3 linked regions of the Saccharomyces cerevisiae S288C genome follow. Changing the gene in region 1 together with any one later gene gives a genetic interaction. Each region holds a gene or a part of one and is shown in the gene's direction. Other genes may lie near its edges.

The links.
Region 2: mutations in YNL095C (region 1) and EMP24 together harm fitness more than expected from each alone (negative genetic interaction), as found in Saccharomyces cerevisiae (2 studies listed by BioGRID).
Region 3: mutations in YNL095C (region 1) and NCE102 together harm fitness more than expected from each alone (negative genetic interaction), as found in Saccharomyces cerevisiae (2 studies listed by BioGRID).

Annotation. Positions count from the first base shown.
Region 1 is NC_001146.8:444,383-448,898, reverse strand, and holds YNL095C (uncharacterized protein), read left to right. Parts: upstream 1-2,058; coding exon 2,059-3,987; downstream 3,988-4,516. Other genes in the region: phosphatidate phosphatase APP1, read right to left, coding at 1-1,288.
Region 2 is NC_001139.9:122,051-125,260, reverse strand, and holds EMP24 (Emp24p), read left to right. Parts: upstream 1-1,955; coding exon 1,956-2,567; downstream 2,568-3,210. Other genes in the region: MDS3 (Mds3p), read right to left, coding at 1-563; YIP4 (Yip4p), read right to left, coding at 963-1,670. UniProt on the Saccharomyces cerevisiae protein: Constituent of COPII-coated endoplasmic reticulum-derived transport vesicles. Required for efficient transport of a subset of secretory proteins to the Golgi.
Region 3 is NC_001148.4:828,254-831,067, forward strand, and holds NCE102 (Nce102p), read left to right. Parts: upstream 1-1,664; coding exon 1,665-2,186; downstream 2,187-2,814. Other genes in the region: SUE1 (Sue1p), read right to left, coding at 2,802-2,814. UniProt on the Saccharomyces cerevisiae protein: Involved in membrane organization. Required for the formation of membrane compartments of CAN1 (MCCs), localization of CAN1 at the MCCs and subsequent invagination of the plasma membrane at the MCCs sites.

The DNA of each region.
Region 1 (4,516 bases):
AATTAGAGCAACATCTTATATAAATAGCCAGAATCTGGTTCGGAAATTGTAAAGCCGTAGTGGTATACGCTTCTAAGTCATGTTCACCAGAATCACCGACCAAAATAAATTTTTTTTTGGGAAAATCCTTTAAGATATTTGCAATCGGCTGAATTTTTCTATTCGCACTTGAAGTCATGATAGTGGAAAAGAAATTACCAGAGTATTGTTTCAAAAAAATTGGACCCGGAGGAAAATTGGCGCAAATATATTGTTTCAAAAGAGTAAAAGTTTGGATGGGTGAATTAGAAACATAAAAGAAATCAACGTCTGCGACATCATGTAAAGTTTTGTACCAAAGAGGAACACCATCTATTACCCACGATTGAACATCATGGATGAAAACATTACGAAACATCGATCTCCTGTCACCCGTAACGCCAGTATGCTTGATGGTGTCGTCAATATCACTGATTAAACCAATACCGTAGGGCGAGACATAATTGGCCGGAAATGTTTCAGATATGGGATCTGCATGGCCTTCTATAGGGGTATCTAATGTAATATTAATCTTGGACGGTAAAAAATCTGTTTCTGCCTTGATTAGTAAATTACCATAAGAGTCCGTGGTACCAAAAAAGGAAGCCGTATCCCCTCTGAGCTTATCTTTGGGCAATAGGTCAACCACCACTGGAGTATTAGGAACTTTTTTGGACAGGAATCCTTGAATTCTCTCATTCAGAACATCTTCCTCTTGGATGCCCATATGTGAATACCTATTTTCGCTCTTTGAAGACAAAGAACTTTCTATACTTGATTGGGAGTCGTTTAAATCTCCAGAATCCTCTTCGAGATGAGGGGGAACAACAGGTGCAACATCGGCCTCCGCCGTTCCAGTTCTAAGATATTGTTTACAAAGAGAAAGCAACCACCTATTTCTCCTGCTTGTAGGATTTCCTGGATAAGAAACAGCACATCTGACAGTAGTTTCAAAATCTTTCCGAGGCGCACTCAAACCGTCAGGGTCAACCAAATTAGTTGTGGTATACGTTGGAAAATATGTTATCGTGGTATTATGTGGCAATTCCATAGGCAAGTCATTATAACCTTCGAAGGAATTCGTAGTGCTCCTGATGCCATCCATTGTCTTTTGAGAAATGGATGACGTCAGGTTAGGAATATAAACATCCTTTGTGGTTCTTATGAGATTCATAAACCGTTGTTTCTTACCCATTCGTGGGTCTCCAGAAGTAGGACCGCTAGTAGCAGCAGTAGAGGAAGAGCTTTCATCGTAACCTTGACTATTCATCTTTTTATTCCTTCTCCAAAGCAATTTTTTCCCCCTTTGACGGAACTTATAGCCAAGTTTCAATGTCCTTGTCTGTGTTAATGGTCCCAAGAAAAGACGGCGATTACTAGACAAACTCTTTATAGCCAACAAACCGACAGAGCTAGAGAAACATATGACACTGTTTATTGAAAGCCTTGTGCAACCCACTATTTGCGATATATATGCCTTAATGATGCTAAATTTTTGCCCTGGATCACGAATAGTATAACAGCTTCGTATACTTTATGTCTCGTGGGCATAAAAAGCCAAGAAAAGATACACAAACCAATCACAATGAACAAGCTAACCGTAAAGGCGTTGCCACCCTATTCTAATGCTTTATCTGTCCGAGAATTGTTGGTAACCTCGTTTGGAAAGTTAGACCGCGCCCTCATCATCATTTGCGCGACCACGTGACCCGCTGCGGCTGCGGTTTGCGCGAAGGTTACAATATCTTCCTACTCGATGACTTTTAACCTTTGGATCAAGAGCACAACGTTCTGCCTGAACTCTTATGCTCATTTTGTGCATACAAGTTGCCTTTTTGTGCCATATTAGGATATATTGCCTTCTGAATAAAACTATTCAATTCTCATCACTTCCGCAGTTAGAGAACGCTTTTATGGCATATTGTTACAAATCATCGCTAAAAAAGATATAAACAGTGACTAATTAGCGTCAGCGCAATTTTTTTGGAGAAGTTATAGAATCAAACAGAGAAAGGGATTGAAACCTCAAATTTTCATCAGATGGTGCACATTACTCTGGGTCAAGCGATATGGGTGTCAGTTAAGCCGATAATCAAGATTTATTTGATTATAGGAGTCGGCTTTCTGATGGCTAAAATGGGAATTCTTACGGTTGAAGCAACAAGAATTATTTCTGATATCGTGCTAACAGTTTTACTACCCTCTCTGTCATTCAACAAGATTGTCGCTAATATTGAAGATAAAGACATCAAATCTGTGGGAATTATCTGTCTGTCTGCCCTCCTAATATTTGGTTCTGGGTTCTTTTTTGCATACGTTGTTAGGCTATTCCTGCCTGTTCCTAAACAATGGTACGGTGGTATTCTTGCCGGTGGTATGTTTCCAAATATAAGTGATTTACCAATTGCATATTTACAATCTATGGACCAAGGGCTTGTATTTTCGGAAGAAGAAGGTAACAAAGGTGTGGCTAACGTCATTATATTTCTGACAATGTTTCTAATTTGCATTTTCAATTTGGGGGGGTTTCGACTGATTGAAAGCGATTTCGAGTACAACGACGATGAAAGCGCCGTTAGGGTTTCAGAAACGACAAAGACACAGCCCGCAGTAAGTGCAAACACAACTAATACAGATACTAGCGAGCGTTTCTTCTCAAACGAACAACAGCTTTTCAACAATAAGTACACCGCTCGCGATAGTCTCACTGAAGCTATAGGTACAAAGGGTGAAAACGCAGACGTACCACCAATTTCAAGGAGATCAACAAATAGTATAGCTCCCCTGTCACTACCAGACACTTCTTCGAATTCAAAGATTACAAAACCAGTTCAGGTGAAGGCAAGAAATACTATTGCGTGCACTCAAAGCGAAGAGTCACAGGCAACTCGTGGTTCAAATCCATTAGATAGCCAATCATCTGCTTCAACAATACATTCTTATAATACGTCAGAGAGTTATGAGAGTAGCATAGATACTATGAGAGCACGTAGAACCGCGAGCCAGCCGAGAGCTTACAATACTACCACACTCCTAGAAGAGAACTGTTTAGATGAAAAATGCCCAAAAAATATGTCTATGGCGGCATTGGAACCTATCCGCTCCATTGATATGCGTGCATTACCTTCTCAAAATATACACCATCTTATCAGAGAGTACTCCAACGTTGACCAGTATGGTCATCAAAGGAGGAATTCCAGTTTACGCGGCGCTGATATGAATGATGTGCATTCAATTAGCTCAAATTCCACTTTACAGACTATAAAAACTGCTAACCTAACCAGGATCTTAACATCAGATGCCACTGTAAGTAAAAAGGATATTGAAACATCCGGCGAATCATTACCACAGTGGATGAGAAAATTTTCATTAACTCCATTACTTGTGTTTTTCCTAAAGAATTGTTTGAGACCGTGCTCTATGGCCGTGATCATCGCCCTAACTGTTGCATTTATCCCATGGGTCAAGGCTTTGTTCGTGACTACCGCTAATACTCCTCACATAAGCCAAGCTCCTGACAATGCACCACCATTAAGCTTTTTCATGGATTTTACAGGTTATGTCGGTGCCGCATGTGTTCCATTTGGGTTGATATTATTAGGAGCAACTTTAGGAAGATTAAAGATTGGCAACCTTTATCCTGGATTTTGGAAAGCCGCTGTGACACTCGTCATTTTGAGACAATGTGTCATGCCAATTTTTGGTGTCCTATGGTGTGATCGGTTAGTGAAAGCTGGATGGGTTAATTGGCAAGATGATAGAATGCTACTATTTGTTATAGCAATCAGCTGGAACTTGCCAACGATGACTACCCTTATATATTTCACCGCCAGTTTTACGCCGCCAGAAACAACTGCGCCAATCCAAATGGAGTGTGTTTCATTTTTCTTAATGCTGCAATACCCGCTAATGGTTGTTAGCTTGCCATTTTTAGTGTCTTACTTTCTGAAAGTACAGATGAACCTTTAGTTTTAATCCATTAAACAAAAAATTATTACCACTCCTAATCACTGTTTTAGGGTGGGTTAAAATTAACATTCTCCATTTTTATATAGAACTAATAAAAAACACCTACTTATAGACACGACCAAACTTTCCACAACCTTTCATCAGAGAGAAATGTTGATCAAGTTGAATGCGTGAAAGTAGCAATTCGAAACAACAACTACCTGTCATTCTGCATAGTAGTAGTTACGAAAGGCACAGAAAATAACAAAAAAAAAAAAAAAGTCAATTTTCTACGGTCTCCATCCGTACCTCTTTAAATCCGTACATTATTGTTTTGCTTAATTTCAATATTTCGGAAAAAGCGAGCGCCCTGGTAAAATGTGGTTCAAGCCTGCGAGCCTTTGCTTGGTAACTCACCAAATGCAATTCAGTCACGTTCCACACAGTTTGGGTTTCCAGCCTGGCTTTAGGGAAGAATGGGCTCACTAGGCGTTCATAATACGCGGAGGGGGAAATACCAAATGCTATTGATTATGGTTAAAATATGTGT
Region 2 (3,210 bases), on another chromosome or scaffold:
AACTCATATCCGCTCTGAGGAGACACTGTGAGACCACCAAATATATATAAACAGCCATCTAAATAACATAAGGAATGGAATAGCCTCTCCTTGAGCGGAGATTCAAGGGATTTACCTTTCTTAATGTCCGTTCTAATCTCGTTTGTGTCATTATCTGCTTTGGCGCTAGAACTCTCTGCCTTTAATAATTCCTCTGTCCTTTGGTCAAAGGAGGTCTTGACTCTGTACCAGGTTCTAGACATCAAGTCTAAGAAAAACGTCTCCTTACTTATCCACTCGTTTAAATTCCTAAAAGAACTACCGTTGTTTTTTTCCTTTGCAAAAAAGAGAATAAGCTCCTTTTGTAATTGCATAGAATTTACAACTGGCAGGTTCAACGGGATGGTTAGACCACCATGTACAAATATATTAGACCTTGTTAGCGTCACCGCTGAACCTGTTCTATAGTCCAGCGTTAACCTTTTCCTGGCGCATTCATCAAACTCGTTGGAATCGGAAGTCAGTGGTAATGGCGGAAGCTTCAAAGGGTAGCAGAAGCAAGTGGATGGTTGTAATAAAGGCATACTACGCTAAAGCAGGTGCAGATTGTTACTTGTCCTTTGGTTTGCACGCGCGCTATGTTATCTTATATATATAGTAAAACAGAAAAGTCTCTAAAGCGCCTTCACCATGTAATGTTTGCAAGTGTGGCTATAGGCACAGGAAGGAGAAGAGTTCTCAAACAATTGTGGTAAACGGACGCTGTGAACTTGAAATAGACTTTGCCAGACTCTGCGCTACCAATTCATCAGAAAGCCTAATCTTGCTTTGAACTTCTCTTACACTCCACGGAGTCTGCCTTAGCCACACGCCAGCCCCTGTGAGCGTCCTCTTTTTTTTTTTTTTCAGAACTTTCTGCCGTGGCTCGCGAGATAGGCAATTCTATGTCCATGATATTGGGTTTTATACATATGTAACTAGTGTTATAAAATAGTTGACAACCAGGCCATGCCAAAAAGACAGAGTGCCAGAGGGTATATCTCGATAATGGTCTTGCTCTTGGTAACCCACGAAACGGCGGCCACAGACCACATCAGGCACAGCGCCATGACCACCAGTTTCACGAGCGACAGGACCCTCACAATCCAGCGATTTTGCTTTCCAATATGGTAGGCCAATGGAAGTAGTATCTGCGAGACTAAGGCATTCAGCACTTGTGGGAATAAGCAATACCCGGAAATGGAGATGTACGAAATCAGCGACACCCTCTGGTGTGGCTTGGTGAGTCTCAGATGCAATGCCATCACCAGCAAAATGAACCAACTAGACACAAATAGGCTCGAGAACAGCGACCGCGCATGCGATACAAATAGAGAATACAATATGATAAACGCAAGGGGCGCCCACAGGTCGCAATTGGCTGAAATGTCGTTATCAGCCGCCCCTATCCCGTCATCAGAGGGGCTAAAGAATGAGGGGAAATGCGGGTATACCACTTGTTTCAGTCTGGAATTAATCTCCACCACATCTCGCTTTAGTGTTTGCAGCACAGTCTCGTCGAGCGTCCCTCTGCTGCCTGAATTCTGCATAGTTCCGCCTATGTTGTCAGCAACACCCCCGGAAGCAGCCAAAGGTGCATCTGGTTCTATGAAGTCGGGCTCAATCGTAGTGTCTTCTCTTCCGTATGACATTTTGCCTGCCCTCTTGTGACATATCTTTCTACAAATATTGCTAAAACAGCTTCATTTGCTATTGTAAAAGGGGACGAAAAATCACTGTGAGAAAATCATCACTCCGGGTAATCCAATTTTCATGAAAAAAGACGCGAGGAAAGTCAGAAAAGTCGTGCAAAACAGCCTGAGAGATCGGGTCGCTTAAACATTTTGACACGAAACTTATAATGAAATAAAAAGCTATACTTGGTGAAACTGCAATCTTAATAGTATCCCTCCGCACAAAAATACACACGCATAAGGATGGCCTCATTTGCTACTAAGTTTGTCATTGCTTGCTTCCTGTTCTTCTCGGCGTCCGCCCATAATGTCCTTCTTCCAGCTTATGGCCGTAGATGCTTCTTCGAAGACTTGAGTAAGGGTGACGAGCTCTCCATTTCGTTCCAGTTCGGTGATAGAAACCCTCAATCCAGTAGCCAGCTGACTGGTGACTTTATCATCTACGGGCCGGAAAGACATGAAGTTTTGAAAACGGTTAGGGACACGTCGCACGGTGAAATCACATTGTCTGCTCCATACAAGGGACATTTCCAATACTGTTTCTTGAACGAGAACACCGGTATCGAGACAAAAGACGTGACTTTCAACATTCATGGGGTGGTATATGTGGATTTGGACGACCCAAACACCAATACATTGGATAGTGCTGTCAGAAAGTTGTCCAAATTAACCAGGGAAGTCAAGGACGAACAAAGTTATATTGTTATTAGAGAAAGGACGCATAGAAATACTGCAGAGTCGACCAACGATCGTGTTAAATGGTGGTCCATCTTCCAATTGGGCGTCGTTATTGCAAACTCTCTTTTCCAGATATACTACTTGAGAAGATTCTTTGAGGTCACATCTCTAGTCTAAGTAAAGCAGGAAAATGTAGTTCATATCTATTTACTTTTGCCTACATACGATTACATACACGATTGGATAACCTGAAGTCGCGAATAATTCTCGGTTTCATACTTTTTACCTTGATCCTTCCACTGTTTTTCCCTGTGCCAATTACATGTAAATAAATATATACATATATATGGTCCAGGCGCGCCATAAAACAAATACAGGTTGTAGCGAATCAAAAAATGGGAAATACATACGAAAAACTTGAAAGAAACAAGTACCACAGGACATGCTGTGGTCCGTTTTTCCCCAGAGCACTTTTATGTGGGACTCTTAGAAGGGAAATAGCTCTGTTCATATAGAACAAAAAAAGAATAGCCCTGTAGGGGGCTCGAACCCCTAACCTTATGATTAAGAGTCATACGCGCTACCGATTGCGCCAACAAGGCTAATTCGTTGGAAAACGTCCCCATTTCAGGGAAACATAGCTCACGATGTTAATAACTGATTTGTAGCCGAGCCACATTGTATCAACGCGTGATTAACACATGTTTGGAATATACTGTTGGAACAAGAATCAACTAGTGCTCATATTAGCAATATATTACTATATACGGTGTAAGAAGATGTCCACTATAGTCAGCCATATTCTTGATCTTACGAAAGG
Region 3 (2,814 bases), on another chromosome or scaffold:
GATATGCGTGTCGAGTGCTAAAAAAAGCCAACTAGCGATTTAAGAGTGAGAAGTAATCCTCGTTAAAAGCGATGCAGAGCCAACTAACTAAACTGCTAACCTCGCTTTCTTTACACAAGTAGTACTCAAGAAGTTTCATAAAATGCCCAGTTACACACTCGTGAAATGCACTTCAAGGTGGTGTTACAATTTTCACGAACTGCAACAATTGAGTATATTTATTAAAGCAGGAATATGTTTGCCCAATCAAACGTAATTTCATATATGAACATATATGAAGTTGCACACATCAGCGGGAAAGATGTCTCTACCGCTCGAGGAGCCACACGTTTGATTTGCAATCCATGAAATAGAACTGCTAATCCCATATACAATTAACTATATCAATTTCCTGAACAAAGAGATTACAATCAACGGCAAAGCCGCCTGCCTCTCCGGAGATCTCCTTTTTTCTTCTTTCTTTTGTCCTATGTTGCATAGTTGCTCATGTCTTTTCCTTAGGCGGACAATTAAGAGCAGCCACAATATTTCCAAAACTAAATTGCTAAAAAAGCGTAGCAAAAAATTCTCGTCATTCCCACTTTCCCTACCTTAACCCTTGATGTTAACGCCGTTTCGCTCATCGGAACAAACTATACAGATAATTAAGCTTTTCGGCAGCGGTGAGAAAGGAAGCAGCCAGGAGGAATACGCGGCTTTCTCGCGGAGCCCGATTGCCGATACAAAGGAACTGTTGCCTCCTCCCGGCTATTTCCATAGGCCTTCATTCAGCATACTGTTGTGTAGTTGCATCACATCCTTGTTGAATGAATTCCAACTATTTCGATAAACCATCCCATGAAGGAGAATGCAATGCGGCTTTTGTTTGTAAACGGGCTTGAGAGGTTCTATGCGGTTAATTCTGTCACTAGGGGTCCGAATCTCGGATTAAGTATAAAATATGTATTACCCTGATGATTGACCGGATGATGTAAGGATGCATGTCCCTACTGTTTTGGTATTTCCACATACGGACGGGGCCCCGAAACACCACCCCCATTTTAACGGCCGCATCTGAGCATCGGCCCATTTGGCACACGCCCGTTAGTGACGTTGGTAGGGGCATTTCCCTGAGGTAGGCCCAAGGTTGCTTTAAAAGGTCCATCGCAAACCCCTTGTCCGCGGACCTCTGCGTCATAATTAAAATGCCCAAAACATAAAAGTGATCGCCCCCTCACAGAAACTTATGGGCAGCTTGCTGCCTTAACGGAATTGACTAGAATTGGTTTGATTTTTTTTTCTTCCTACTTCTTCTTCCATTTCCCTCCCCTCTTCCTCATATATGTATACAGAAAAATCATACCCCTATAAATTCCTTGGCCCCAATCTTCTGTCAGATTTTCCTTTATAAAAGAGTCTTTGTTTTGTAATTAAAAGATACTTTTTTCTTTCTTCTTCTACGTCTCCTTTTTTTTTTTTAAGAAAATTTAACTTATACCACTATTTTGTTCGCAATTGATCAAGAAAAAATACAATTGAAAAGGTTTTACATTTTTAATTTTTCTGCTCATCGCGCTTTTTTAAAAGGATAAATAAACATTTCTTTAAAAAACATCTTCAATAAGAAAAATCGGTTAAAAAAACTTTTCTTCTCAAAGCATACCTAATAACAATATAATCCCATAATGCTAGCCCTAGCTGATAACATTCTACGTATAATAAATTTCCTATTTTTGGTTATTTCCATCGGTTTAATCAGTTCGTTGTTAAACACCCAACATAGGCACAGCTCCAGAGTAAACTACTGTATGTTTGCTTGTGCATATGGTATATTCACCGATTCATTGTACGGTGTCTTTGCCAACTTCATTGAACCATTGGCATGGCCACTAGTTTTGTTCACACTGGACTTTTTGAACTTTGTGTTCACTTTCACTGCCGGTACAGTGTTGGCCGTTGGTATCAGAGCTCACTCATGTAACAACAGCTCATACGTTGACAGTAACAAGATTACTCAAGGTTCCGGTACCAGATGTAGACAAGCTCAAGCCGCTGTTGCATTCCTCTACTTCTCTTGTGCCATCTTTTTGGCTAAGACCCTGATGTCTGTTTTCAACATGATCTCCAATGGTGCCTTTGGTTCTGGTTCTTTCTCCAAGAGAAGAAGAACTGGCCAAGTCGGTGTTCCAACCATTTCCCAAGTCTAATTGAAGCGCACCAACTTAAATTTTACGCCACTTTCAATTAAGAATATAATAAATGGACACCGTGAATAAATTAGGGAAAAAAGAAAGCAAATAAGAAAACTCCGTTTTCCCTCATCCCTTTCCGTCTTTCGGAAGAAACAAAAAATTATACCCAAGGAAAACCCGAAAAAAATGAAAAAAATACCAGAAAAAAAATAACAAATCATATGCACTTCTTCATTAACGATTATGAAGAAGTCTTATTTCTAACTAATATTATTATTATTATTATTATTATTATCATTCACCCCGCTTTCTTTTATTATAATTTGTTCTTCTAATATTTTAATTTTTAATCTTTTCATACTATTCTTATATCTAACTAAAGTATCCTTCTCTTTGTCTAGTTTTACTTCACTACATACCTGTTGCGTTGATTTGAGTTTTTTGTATGTAAGTTCTGTTTATCCTTTTTCATCCTACCGTTCCGCGCACGGCGTGACGTGGATCCCTAATGTGAGTTCAAATCGGTTACAAAAATTAATAGTTTTGTTTCCTATTATTATTATTATTATTATGTATGAGGAATCGTGCTATAAAATCATTTTCCATATGTATATGCCAAATATTTATTATTTATTTCATCTTT